Linked DNA regions of Oryctolagus cuniculus. The protein of the gene in region 1 purifies or fractionates together with the protein of each later gene. This does not show direct contact. Links are inferred from orthologs where the notes say so. Each region holds a gene or a part of one and is shown in the gene's direction. Other genes may lie near its edges. The genes, in order: FOS, STK40 and COP1.

Region 1 (4,270 bases):
GGCAGGTCCGTGGTTCCGCTCCCCGCACGCCACCCACGACCCGCCCGCTGTCCTGACCCTGCCTCGCCCCTCCCCGGGAGCGGGTCCTCGGCTGGCCGCGACCCCTAGGCCCCCAGAGTGGGTCAGAGGACTCAGGGGTCCTGCAGAGGGACCTGCGCCGTTGCACTCCAGGGGTGTCCGGCGCGCCGGGGCCCAGCTGGGACAGTGTGACCCCGGCGGTCCTTTGCAGCCCAGCGGGAGGCTGGGGGCGTTGGGGGGGCGTGGCGCGTTCTGCAGCACCTGCTCGGCCCCCAAGACCTCCAGGTTTCCAGGGCCCGGGCCTCGAGGCCTCCCGCCTGGATACTGCTGGGCACCATTCTTCCATTCCCCTTGCTGCCCGCCTCCCATCCGAGCTGGAAAATCACCCGCTGCGGGCTCCTTGGGAGCCCAGTTTCCTGGCGGAACCGACCCGGCCCCCACCGCACCCCCAGCTCTGACTTGCGTTCCCTGGCGGCTCAGTCCACCTTGGGGCCCCGCACAGGCCACCCACCCCCAGGACGCCGCTCGGAACGCGGCTGACGACCCCTTGGCATCCTGGCGCGGGGGTCTGTATGACGTATATGGACGGGCGTCCCAGGGATTGGACAGTAACACTAACACCCCCACGTTCGGCCCAGAAGAAAAAAACAAGTGCGCTGCCTTCCTCCAAACACGAAAACGAATCAGTAAAAATCAAAGTACCCCCGCCTCGCAAATCAAGCCGGGCTACCGTATTTCATTTTAGACCCATCACGTTCTGCTTCCAAACGTAGTAATGATCCTGGGACCCTGGGGGCTCGGGGGCTCAGGGGCTCGGGTCTGGGGCCACATTTTGCACCCAGCTAGGGCGAGGGTCGGGAATGGGGGCTGCGTGCGTTCCTCTGCGAGCCGCGCTTGCGCCCTCGGGGCCGTGTACCTGTTCCTCCAGTACTTGAGCCTCAGAACCAACCCTAGTCCCTGCACCGGGGTGAGAGGCCGGCCTCCGTCCCATCCCCCACGACCCCAGGAACAAGGGTCCGCAGCGTGCCCAGTGGGAATGTTCGCTCGCCTTCTCCGCCTCTCCCGCCTCCCCTCCCCCGCCCCGGCGCGGCCCCCGCTTCCCCCCCGCGCTGCACCCTCAATGTTGGCTGCAGCCCGCGAGCAGTTCCCGTCAATCCCTCCCCCCTCTACACAGGATGTCCATATTAGGACATCTGCGTCAGCAGGTTTCCACGGCCGTCCCGTGTCGCCGTGGGGGGAGCCACCCCCGAAGACCCTCTTCTCGGGGGTCTGAGACCCCTCCGGGACCCTCATCTCGCCACGCCCGCAGAGTAAGGACTCACAGGCATACCGGGGCGGGGGCTGCGCGCGGCTGGGGGTGGCCGGGTCGCAGCGGCGCCACCCCAGCCGGCGCGCCACCCCTCCAGCGCCACATGGTTGCGCCCGGTGACGCCGTTGGGCTCATTCACAAAATGCTGTTATAAAAGCGGTGGCTGCGGCGCCTCGTACTCCAAGCGCCTCTGCAGCGAGCAGCCAAGAACCTGAGACAGAGCCGGCGGCCGCTGCATAGCGAGCGAGCAGTGACCGCGCTCCGACCCAGCTCTGCCCCAGCCAGCGCTCCGCCGGCCTCGGTGCCCAGGCCCCTCGCCCAGCTTGCCCTCCCTGCGACCATGATGTTCTCGGGCTTCAACGCCGACTACGAGGCAGCGTCTTCCCGCTGCAGCAGCGCCTCGCCAGCCGGGGACAGCCTCTCCTACTACCACTCCCCAGCCGACTCCTTCTCCAGCATGGGCTCCCCGGTCAATGCGCAGGTGAGGGCGCACTGGCGCCTCCGTGGGGCCCGGGACCCGGGGGGTCGCCAGGGTGGGAGGCTGCCGCGGCCGGAGCAGCCCCAGTCTGGGAGCGCGGGGCTTGTTGTGAGCGCACGCTCGCCAGTCGTCATAGTAAGCCATGCCTGCCCCTCTGCCCGGCGGGTCCGCGCCGGGCAGCCCCCTGCCCGCCCTCTGCGACCGGGGCGGACGTGAGCCCAGGGAGAGACTCGCCAGGTGGAGGTCCGGCTCCTTTGGGGCAGGCGGCAGAGGGCGGCCCGGAGCCGGGAGGAGGGGCGCGGGAGGAGGGTGCGTAAGGCAGTTTCATTGATAAAAAGCGAGTTCATTCTGGAGACTCCGGAGCGGCGCCTGCGTCAGCGCGGACGTCAGGGATATTTATAACAAACCCCCTTTCCAGCGAGTGATGCTGCTGGAGAAATAACGGGAACACGGCCGCGGGCTGGAGACAGGAGGCGCCGCGTTGCGGAGACCTTGCGGGCAGAGGGCAGAGCTTCCAGCCGGGATGGGAACTAACAGACCCCGCAGGCGCCGTTCCCCGGCTGCTGCATGCGGCAGGCGCTGGGAACCCGGCGCGCCCCACCTGTGAACGCAACCCGCGCGCTCACGGCGGCTTCTCCTTCTGTTTTCTTCCAGGACTTCTGTTCGGATCTGGCCGTCTCCACTGCCAACTTCATCCCCACCGTGACTGCCATCTCGACCAGCCCGGACCTGCAGTGGCTGGTGCAGCCCACCCTGGTCTCTTCCGTGGCTCCGTCGCAGACCAGAGCCCCCCACCCTTACGGAGTCCCCGCCCCCTCGGCTGGGGCTTACCCCCGGGCTGGAAACGTGAAGACCCTGACCGGAGGCAGAGCTCAGAGCATCGGCCGAAGGGGCAAGGTGGAGCAGGTGAGGGGCGCCTCTGCACCTTGGGGGGTGGGGGAGGCGGGTCACGGGGACAGCAGCGGAGATTGGGGGAACCCAGCAGCGAGGATGAAGCCAGAGTGGGAATTGTCTGTGCATCCCATCCCGAGCCAGGAAGCCTGGCTCCAGGCCAGACTCCGATAGTCCCGCCCCCAAGAAGTCCGTCTGTAGTTTTCTTCCCTGATAGTTTCCTGTCGCTGGCGCCCTCAGCCTGGGCTCATCTTTGTTCTTGGGCTGAGGATCTGATTTTAAATGCAAGTCACACCCCGCCTGCGACTGCAGGTTAGAAATACTCGTCAGAGGAGGTGCCAGGGAGCTGGGAGGCGGCAGGAGCCAGCTTCCCCGAAGTGGTGGCTGTCACTGTTACTGAAGCGCTCTCTGCTTGGTGTCGTTGTAGTTGTCACCCGAGGAAGAGGAGAAGAGGCGAATCCGAAGGGAAAGGAATAAGATGGCTGCAGCCAAGTGCCGAAACCGGAGGCGGGAGCTCACCGATACCCTGCAGGCGGTAAGTAGACCCCAGGGGTCACACCTTTCGAAGTTCGAGGCTGGGCCCTGGAGTGTGACCGAGTCTCATGCTGTCTCCATCCTTCCCCAACACAGGAGACAGATCAGCTAGAAGACGAGAAGTCTGCGCTGCAGACGGAGATCGCCAACCTGCTCAAGGAGAAGGAGAAGCTGGAGTTCATCCTGGCAGCCCACCGGCCCGCCTGCAAGATCCCCGATGACCTGGGCTTCCCCGAGGAGATGTCCGTGGGATCCCTGGATCTGAGCGGGGGCCTGCCCGAGGCTGCCACCCCGGAGTCCGAGGAGCCTTTCAGTCTGCCCCTCCTCAACGACCCGGAGCCTAAGCCCGCAGTGGAGCCCGGCAAGAACCTGAGCGGCATGGAGCTGAAGGCCGAGCCCTTCGATGACTTCCTGTTCCCAGCGTCATCCAGGCCCAGCGGCTCGGAGACGGCACGCTCTGTGCCGGACGTGGACCTGTCCGGTTCCTTCTATGCCGCAGACTGGGAGCCCCTGCACAGTGGCGCCCTGGGGATGGGGCCGATGGCTGCGGAGCTGGAGCCCCTGTGCACCCCGGTGGTCACCTGTACCCCAAGCTGCACCACTTACACGTCTTCCTTCGTCTTCACCTACCCCGAGGCTGACTCCTTCCCCAGCTGCGCCGCGGCCCACCGCAAGGGCAGCAGCAGCAACGAGCCCTCCTCTGACTCGCTCAGCTCCCCGACACTGCTCGCCCTGTGAGCCGGCCGGGCTGGGGAGGCAGCCGGCGCGGCGCCCTGCCTCTGTCCGGAGTTGGTGCATTACAGAAAGAACCACGTCTTCCCTCGAGGGTTCCGGTAGACTAGGGAGGACGCGATCTGTGCGTGAAACACACCAGGCTGTGGGCCGCAAGGACTGGAACGCACCCGCGTGTGGACCCGAGTCCTTACCTCTTCCGGAGATGTAGCAAAACGCATGGAGTGTGTGTTGTTCCCAGTGGCACTTCTGAGAGCTGGTAGTTAGTAGCATGTTGAGCCAGGCCTGGGTCTGTGTCTCTTTTCTCT
Region 2 (3,714 bases), on another chromosome or scaffold:
TCTGGTGGAGCAGACGGTACAGTAGGGCTGGGTAGGTGTGTGGGCTGCATGTGGCCAATATGATCCCTCCCCAAGGAGTCAGGAAAGGCATCCCAGGTGATGCACGGTGAGCATGTGCCAAAGGGGATTGCAAGGGACCAGCCATGTGGGAGGTAGGCGGAGGACCCCGTGGTGGGATTTCAGGCACAGAGCTGCGCATCCAAAGGGAGGCGCTGTCTCCCACGCTGAGTGTGTGTGTGTGTGTGTCGCCCTTCCCCCAGGCCGGCCTTACCGGGGCAAGCCCAGCGACATGTGGGCCCTGGGCGTGGTGCTCTTCACCATGCTCTACGGCCAGTTCCCCTTCTACGACAGCGTCCCACAGGAGCTCTTCCGCAAGATCAAGGCCGCAGAGTACACCATCCCGGAGTGAGTCCTGTGTCCCTGGGGGTGGGGAAACAGCCCCGTGGGCTGGGGTCCTGCGTGAGGTCTGGCCCCAGGCCACCCTGCTGAGCCTTCTCCTTCTCCACCTCCCTCTCCATGTCAGGGATGGGAGAGTCTCTGAGAACACCGTGTGTCTCATCCGAAAACTGCTGGTCCTTGACCCCCAGCAGCGCCTGGCTGCCGCTGACGTCCTGGAGGCCCTGAGCGCCATCATTGCTTCGTGGTGAGTGGGCAGGAGCTGGGCTGGGTGCAGGACAGACACGCAGCCTGCCATGAGGCAGAGTCAGGCGTCCAGAGTCTCCCCGCGGGCAGGATGGGGAGGGTGCAGGCAGAGCAGGGCACTCGCTGCACTTCAGGCCCATCAGAGGGTGGGCACTGCCTCACTGGGTTCTCACTGCCACCTGCGAAGGAAAAACTGAGGGCCAGAGAAGCAGGCGGTCGTGTCAGGCAGGTTAGTCTGACTGCAGCCGAGTCCGGGGCTGCCTGGAGCCACCTGGCTTGTGTCCACCCCACAGGCAGTCCCTGTCATCTCTGAGCGGGCCCTTGCAAGTGGTTCCTGACATCGATGACCAAATGAGCAACGCAGACAGCTCCCAGGAGGTGAGTGGGGAGGGCAGGCCTGGCAGGGGCAGAGGCGGTGGCTCCCTGTGGGTGCAGCCTCCTCCTCCCTCCTGCCCAGTGCAGCGGGGGCTGAGCGGCTGCCGGGTGGAAGCGAGCTCCTGGGAGGCCCCCCAGTGGACATGTGGGGTAGTCACCTTCCCCGCCCCTCTGACTCACTGGGCTCTCACTCCTTCCTGCCTTTCATTTTTCAGATGATTCATTCATCTGAGTTCCTGCTTCCCCTTCCCCGTTCCCTGCACTGGTGCAAGTGCTGAGCCTGGGACGGGGCAGAGACCCTAGGGTGTGCCCTGGGGAGCAGGACAAGGGCCAGCCCCAGGCGAGACGCTGGGCCTGGCGTGGTGTAAGGACCTGCCTTCTCTGCCCACCTTGGACCTCTGCCACCAGCAGTGGGAAGGGCTGTGCCTGGGGCCCGGCAGAGCCACCTGGCCTCTGCGCGCTCCCTCCCTCCTCAGGCTGTTCAGTGGCTGCCCCAGGACAGCTCTGGCATCACACCAGGGGCTTGTGTGGCCTCTGTTCTTAACCCCATCTCAGAGAGCTAAGATGACTTTCCCGAAGTCTCACAGCCTCATAGTGGAGCTAACCCTTGAGGATAGAGTGCTTAGCACCGGGGACCTGCAGTCTTCCTGTCCATCAGTGTCCCTGCGTGCTCAGTCTGGGCCTTGTGTGGCCGAGATAGATAGACGGTCATCCAGAGTGCCCCAGCCCACTTTTTTTTTTTTTTTTTTTTTTTTTTTTTTTTTTTGAAGATTTGTTTATTTGAAAGGCAGTTAAGGAGGGAGGTAGAAACAGAGCAAGATCTTCCATCTGCTGGTTCACTCTCCTGCAATGGCCAGGGCTGGACCAGGTCAAAGCCAGGAGCCTAGAGTTTCTTTTTTTTTTTTTTTTTTGACAGGCAGAGTGGACAGTGAGAGAGAGAGACAGAGAGAAAGGTCTTCCTTTGCCGTTGGTTCACCCTCCAATGGCCGCCACGGCTGGCGCGCTGCGGCCAGCACACCGCGCTGATCCGATGGCAGGAGCCAGGAGCCAGGTGCTTTTCCTGGTCTCCCATGGCGTGCAGGGCCCAAGCACTTGGGCCATCCTCTACTGCACTCCCGGGCCACAGGCAGAGAGCTGGCCTGGAAGAGGGGCAACCGGGACAGAATCCGGCGCCCCGACCGGGACTAGAACCCAGTGTGCCGGCGCCGCTAGGCAGAGGATTAGCCTAGTGAGCCGCGGCGCCAGCCTAAGAGCCTAGAGTTTCATCTGGGTCTCCCACATGGGTGGCAGGAGCCCAAGCACTTGGGCCATCTTCTGCTGTTTTCCCAGGTGCATTAGCAGGGAGCTGGATCCAAAGTAGAGCAGCCAGGACTCAAACCGGCACCCACAAGGGATGCTGGTGCTGCAGGTCATGGCTTAACCCACTGTGCCACAGTGCCGGCTCCCCCAACATGCTCTTACTCCCTGGCCTGTGTTGGTCCCTGAGGACCACGGGACCTTTGTGGTTTTTTGTTGTTGTTGTTTTTTTGTTTTTTGACAGGCAGAGTGGACAGTGAGAGAGAGAGACAGAGAGAAAGGTCTGAAAGGTCTTCCTTTGCTGTTGGTTCACTCTCCAATGGCCGCCGCGGCTGGTGCACTGCGGCCGGCGCACCGCGCTGATCCGATGGCAGGAGCCAGGTACTTATCCTGGTCTCCCATGGGGTGCAGGGCCCAAGCACTTGGGCCATCCTCCACTGCACTCCCTGGCCACAGCAGAGAGCTGGCCTGGAAGAGGGGCAACAGGGACAGAATCCGGCGCCCCGACCGGGACTAGAACCCCGTGTGCTGGCGCCACAAGGTGGAGGATTAGCCTAGTGAGCCGTGGCACTGGCTTCACAGGACCTTTGTGAAAGAGACACCTGCCTACCTCTGGGGAGAAAGCAAGCGTGACCCTTCCCGAGGTCGGAGAGTTAGGGAGGACTCTGGGGCAGGCCAGGTGTGTGCCATAGCTGCCACCTGCTATAGCCACACCCAGGGTGGCCAGCAAGACCTGGAGAGCACCAGGGACCCACACTCAGCCCCTCCCAGATAGACTGAGGTTGTGGATGCTGGGGGAGGGTGGGGGAGCCACAGGAGCCAGGCTGCTCAGCACTCACCGCGCCGTCTCCACTGCTTTCTGTGTCTCGCCCCATCTGGGCCCCACAGGCGAAGGTGACGGAGGAGTGCTCCCAGTACGAGTTTGAGAACTACATGCGGCAGCAGCTGCTGCTGGCCGAGGAGAAGAGCTGCATCCACGAGGCCCGGAGCTGGGTGCCCAAGCGGCAGCTGGGCAGCGTGCCCCCCGTGCGGCGGCTGGGCCACGACGCGCAGCCCATGAGCTCCCTGGACACAGCCATCCTGGCACAGCGCTACCTGCGCAAGTAGCAGCCTCAGCAGGGGCGTCAGCACCAACACCACCTCTTGTGCCGCAGCCGAAGGCCTGGCTGGCGGGCTGGATCCTAGCGTGCTGGACTGCCCCAGGTTGCAGTGGGGACGGGGCAAGGCCGGGGACAGCCCAGGCCACACGTGTGGTCAGCAGAGGTACCACGAAGCTACCTTTTGGAATGATTGCCTGATTGTTTGGTTTTTTTTAATCTGAGAAGCCTAGATAACTAATCTGCTTTTAATCATGACGTTTTAATCTACCTCTGTCTCTGTAACCATGCTGTCTCTGGACTG
Region 3 (3,714 bases), on another chromosome or scaffold:
AATATTTTCCTATTATCTTTCATATTGTCTCCAAAATCTCTGTTTGTTTATGTTTTAGATGTTTCTTTGGCAGATAGCCTGCGGTTATGTTTTCAGAAAATGAGTTCTATCACTATTTCGATTGGTGCGTGTTTCCATTTAGATTATTATGAATACTGATGTAGTTTCTCTCTGTTTTACTCCTTATTTTTGCTATTTCCTCACATTTTGATTTTTTTCTTATATTTATTCCTCTCACTACCCCTCTACAGATTTGAATGCTACCTGTTGTGTTACGATCCTTTCAGTAGTTATCCTTGAAATTAATCCACATTTGTCATCTAAACAGTCTATTCTTAATCAGTATCTTAATTACTTTCCTGAAAAATATAGTCACTTCAAAACCCAGATTTTCCTCACTTCTGTGTGATGTCTATGCTATGTATGTATATATACAGGTATTTTCTAAACCCCACAAATCACTATTATAATTGGCAGCAATATTTAGAATCATTTATTTGGTTGGTAGTTTTCTTGCTCTCTCAGTTTTGTGTCTTAGACCTTCTAGTTTTTGTTATGTGTATTTCAGGTACCACACACAATTTCAGAAATTCCTTTAGATTTGGCTCATTGGTTATAAACTGTTTTCATGCATAGGAAAATATATTTTGTTCATTTTGCAAGATAGTTTTATCGGGTCCTGAATTTTAGACTGGAGTTATTTTTCCTCAATTTTTGATGATAATCAAAGTATGTTGTGTTCTGTCTTCTTCTATTGCTTTTAAAAGTATTTTGCCTCTTTATTATTAAATAATTAAGTAAGTTAATCTTTTAAATAAGTTATCTTTTCTGTTTGAGTTTTCAGATCTTCTTTATGCCGTTGGACAAAAACATAATGGCTCGAATTTTAGACTTCCTCTTAGTCATCCTGCTTGGTAGGAATAGTTTCTGTGTCTGTGTGTTCATGTTTCTTTCCAGTTCTGGAAGATTTCCAGCTACCAGTTCTTTAAACACTTCTTTATTGAACCTGTTGCACTCTTCTTCTGATACTCTGGCCATATTTCAAATCATTATTCCATCTTTTATTTCTCATATCATTTCTTTCAAGCTTTCTGGTTTCTGACTTTCATTGTAGGTAATTCCTTTAGATATCTCTTCTAGTTTGCAAATTCTGTGTTAGGTTTCCTTGCGTGGGGTGGTTGCCAAATTGCAGTGAAGGACTTGGTAAGCAGGCTTTTGTCCCCAGACTAACGACTGTCCTCTTTTCCCCACTGTCCTGTGCTGTTGTACTTTGTTCGCCATCATTTTTCTGAGTTCAGCTTCTTCTTTGTTATGTCTTTGGAAGTTATCTTCCTTTCCTGTGAGTAAAGCAGTACTTCACAATATGATTCTTACCTTCCACCTAGTTTGATTAAAGCAAGGGCACACTGTGCAGTGTCTACTATAGTACTTAGTACTCTCGAGGTAGTGCATTTGACGTTCTGACTATACCTGTTGGTGAATTGTGTGATTCCAAGATCTCATTATATATCTTCTCTATCTATTTATGTGCCTCAAGATAGATAATAGCCTTTTTTTAAACAAGCTTGTAGGTAATGTACACCTAGGATCATGGATCTTTGATGTTTACAGTATCTTACACTGTATTTCTGGATTGTTGTCTTTGACTTTTTCTATCTGATTTTGTTATTCTGTTCTCTAATAAATAAGTAAAACTCTTTAGTAAGAAATATTACTACTGCTTAATCTAATAATCAGTATTAAGTGGATATTTCCTACAATCAGGAGCTGTTCTGATAATTCAGTGTGAGACTACAATATAAAGATGATGAAAAATAGTTTTCTGTTTAATAATTGCTTTCTAATAATTTCTGTTTTTTAAGATTCGTAAAATTCAAAATTTTAGAATAACACTTCATTTAATTCAGAGAGTTCTAAGATGTTTCTCATTTTAGTCTTATAAAACTCTCATTTAGTACTTATCTTTTAATTCATTTTTGTTTTAGTCATTCTGTTAGTAAATTTGGTACCTATTTTCACTTTAAAAGAGAAATCAGAAAATATCTAGAAACCATGGTTTTTCACCATTTGTAATCATTTTATTGTGATGAACTTTAGATACTTATAAATATACAAACATTTGGATAATATTCTGTATAAAAGGGTCTGATTTGTTCTGAGTTATAAATATCTTTTTTTATTATTGCCTTAGACAAAGAAACAGCCTTGGTATATCAGCACATTAGCTTCAAGACGAAAACGACTCACTGCTCATTTTGAAGACCTAGAGCAGTGTTATTTTTCTACAAGGATGTCTCGTATCTCAGGTACATGTTCAGGACGCCTCTTAAAGTATCTGAAATTCATATTTCAGATCTATTTCTAGGTTTTTATGCTGGATTTTTGGAAAGTTCTAGCTGCAAAGGATAAGTTTGCATTTTTTACGTAGTCTTTCAAAGCAGTATGGAGATTCTGAGAGAGATTGGAGAATATTGCTTTTTAGTGGTGATTTTTGCTATCTGTTTGAAAGTTTTTAATTTCATATAATAAGTTGTATAAAGCTTGGAAAAGCAGCCATAAACATATAGCTAGCAAAAATAAAAATATTAAGTTACCTAGTCACCATTAAGTTCTGAGCACTGCTGAGGATAGAAAGGTAGAAGAACCAGTTCTTACTGTAAAGGGAGAAAGCAGCAAGTAAGTCATAATTCTGTGTGATACTATGTGTTACTTAAATATGTAAAGGATGTTATAGTAATAGAGAAGAAATCTCCTATTCTACAAATAGGGGAAAGCCAGGCAGCGTTGAAAATGGAGAGATGGAATCCTGTCAAGATTTTGGAGAAGTTGTATTTGGGCTATTAGGGATTAACTGGGAAAAGTAATTGGAAACATGTTCAAGGTAGAAGAGGTGACGTATGCCAAGATATGATGTGGTGGCATAGAGTGCGCTGATGTGGAGAAGTAATAAAACTCCCTGTTCTTCAACCGTTCTTAGCATCTATGCTCACTGGTGAAGTGGTGACTTCAATACCTACATTAAAGGTTTATTTAGGGGATACACGTCATTTATGTGAAGCACAGCGTTTGGCATTTCTTGGCTATTTTGTTAATTGATGTCATTAGTACACATGCCCTAAGGCTACCAAAGAAAAATATGCCTTGTTTTTTATTGTTGTTTAAAACTAGGCCTTAATTTTCTCTTGAAAAAATATTATTAAAATCTATATATTTTTTAAATCTTTTACACAAATTTATATGAGGTTTGGTAGTAGAGAGAAAAATGTGCAAAGTATCTTCAAAAATGTCATGATGATGGATATTATTTTAAATAATTATGTGTGAACTTAAAAATGTTTCACATTTTTAATTCCTTTTTTTATACACATTTTGAAAGTCCTTGTATTGGATTTACGTAGTGTTTTTTCTAGGAAGATTAGAGGAAGCCAAGATATTTTTTTGAATAAGTTTAAAACTATTGATAAGCAACTTTTACACATAGAAAGCTGTCATTTCTTGGCTCAGACTCTAACTCCTTGTTAACCTCTGTAATAGTCTGTAAGTAGAAACTACAGTAAGAAGCTGCTAAATTGAAAGTGGACTGAGAACTGCATTCTATGTGGAAGAGAGTTCTTGTTAACGTTTTCCTGTTATTTGATGGTACTATGTCGAAATACAATTGTAGACCATGTGGCAGTTATTAAAAAACAAAAAGAGTAGAAAAAGAGATTGAGG

What was found.
Region 2: the proteins of FOS (region 1) and STK40 purify together in Homo sapiens (affinity purification with mass spectrometry; 3 studies listed by BioGRID and IntAct, counting the BioPlex papers as one, with this or other methods). This does not show direct contact. The link is inferred for Oryctolagus cuniculus from reciprocal best matches to the Homo sapiens genes FOS and STK40.
Region 3: the proteins of FOS (region 1) and COP1 purify together in Homo sapiens (affinity purification with mass spectrometry; 4 studies listed by BioGRID and IntAct, counting the BioPlex papers as one, with this or other methods). This does not show direct contact. The link is inferred for Oryctolagus cuniculus from reciprocal best matches to the Homo sapiens genes FOS and COP1.

The regions. Positions count from the first base shown.
Region 1 is NC_091451.1:21,316,087-21,320,356, forward strand, and holds the start of FOS (protein c-Fos), read left to right. Parts: upstream 1-1,470; 5' UTR 1,471-1,667; coding exon 1,668-1,808; intron 1,809-2,459; coding exon 2,460-2,711; intron 2,712-3,123; coding exon 3,124-3,231; intron 3,232-3,326; coding exon 3,327-3,968; 3' UTR 3,969-4,270. UniProt on the Homo sapiens protein: Nuclear phosphoprotein which forms a tight but non-covalently linked complex with the JUN/AP-1 transcription factor. In the heterodimer, FOS and JUN/AP-1 basic regions each seems to interact with symmetrical DNA half sites.
Region 2 is NC_091438.1:136,337,134-136,340,847, forward strand, and holds part of STK40 (serine/threonine-protein kinase 40), read left to right. Parts: intron 1-260; coding exon 261-405; intron 406-523; coding exon 524-643; intron 644-935; coding exon 936-1,020; intron 1,021-3,201; coding exon 3,202-3,420; 3' UTR 3,421-3,714. UniProt on the Homo sapiens protein: May be a negative regulator of NF-kappa-B and p53-mediated gene transcription.
Region 3 is NC_091438.1:4,284,897-4,288,610, reverse strand, and holds part of COP1 (E3 ubiquitin-protein ligase COP1), read left to right. Parts: intron 1-2,191; coding exon 2,192-2,306; intron 2,307-3,714. UniProt on the Homo sapiens protein: E3 ubiquitin-protein ligase that mediates ubiquitination and subsequent proteasomal degradation of target proteins.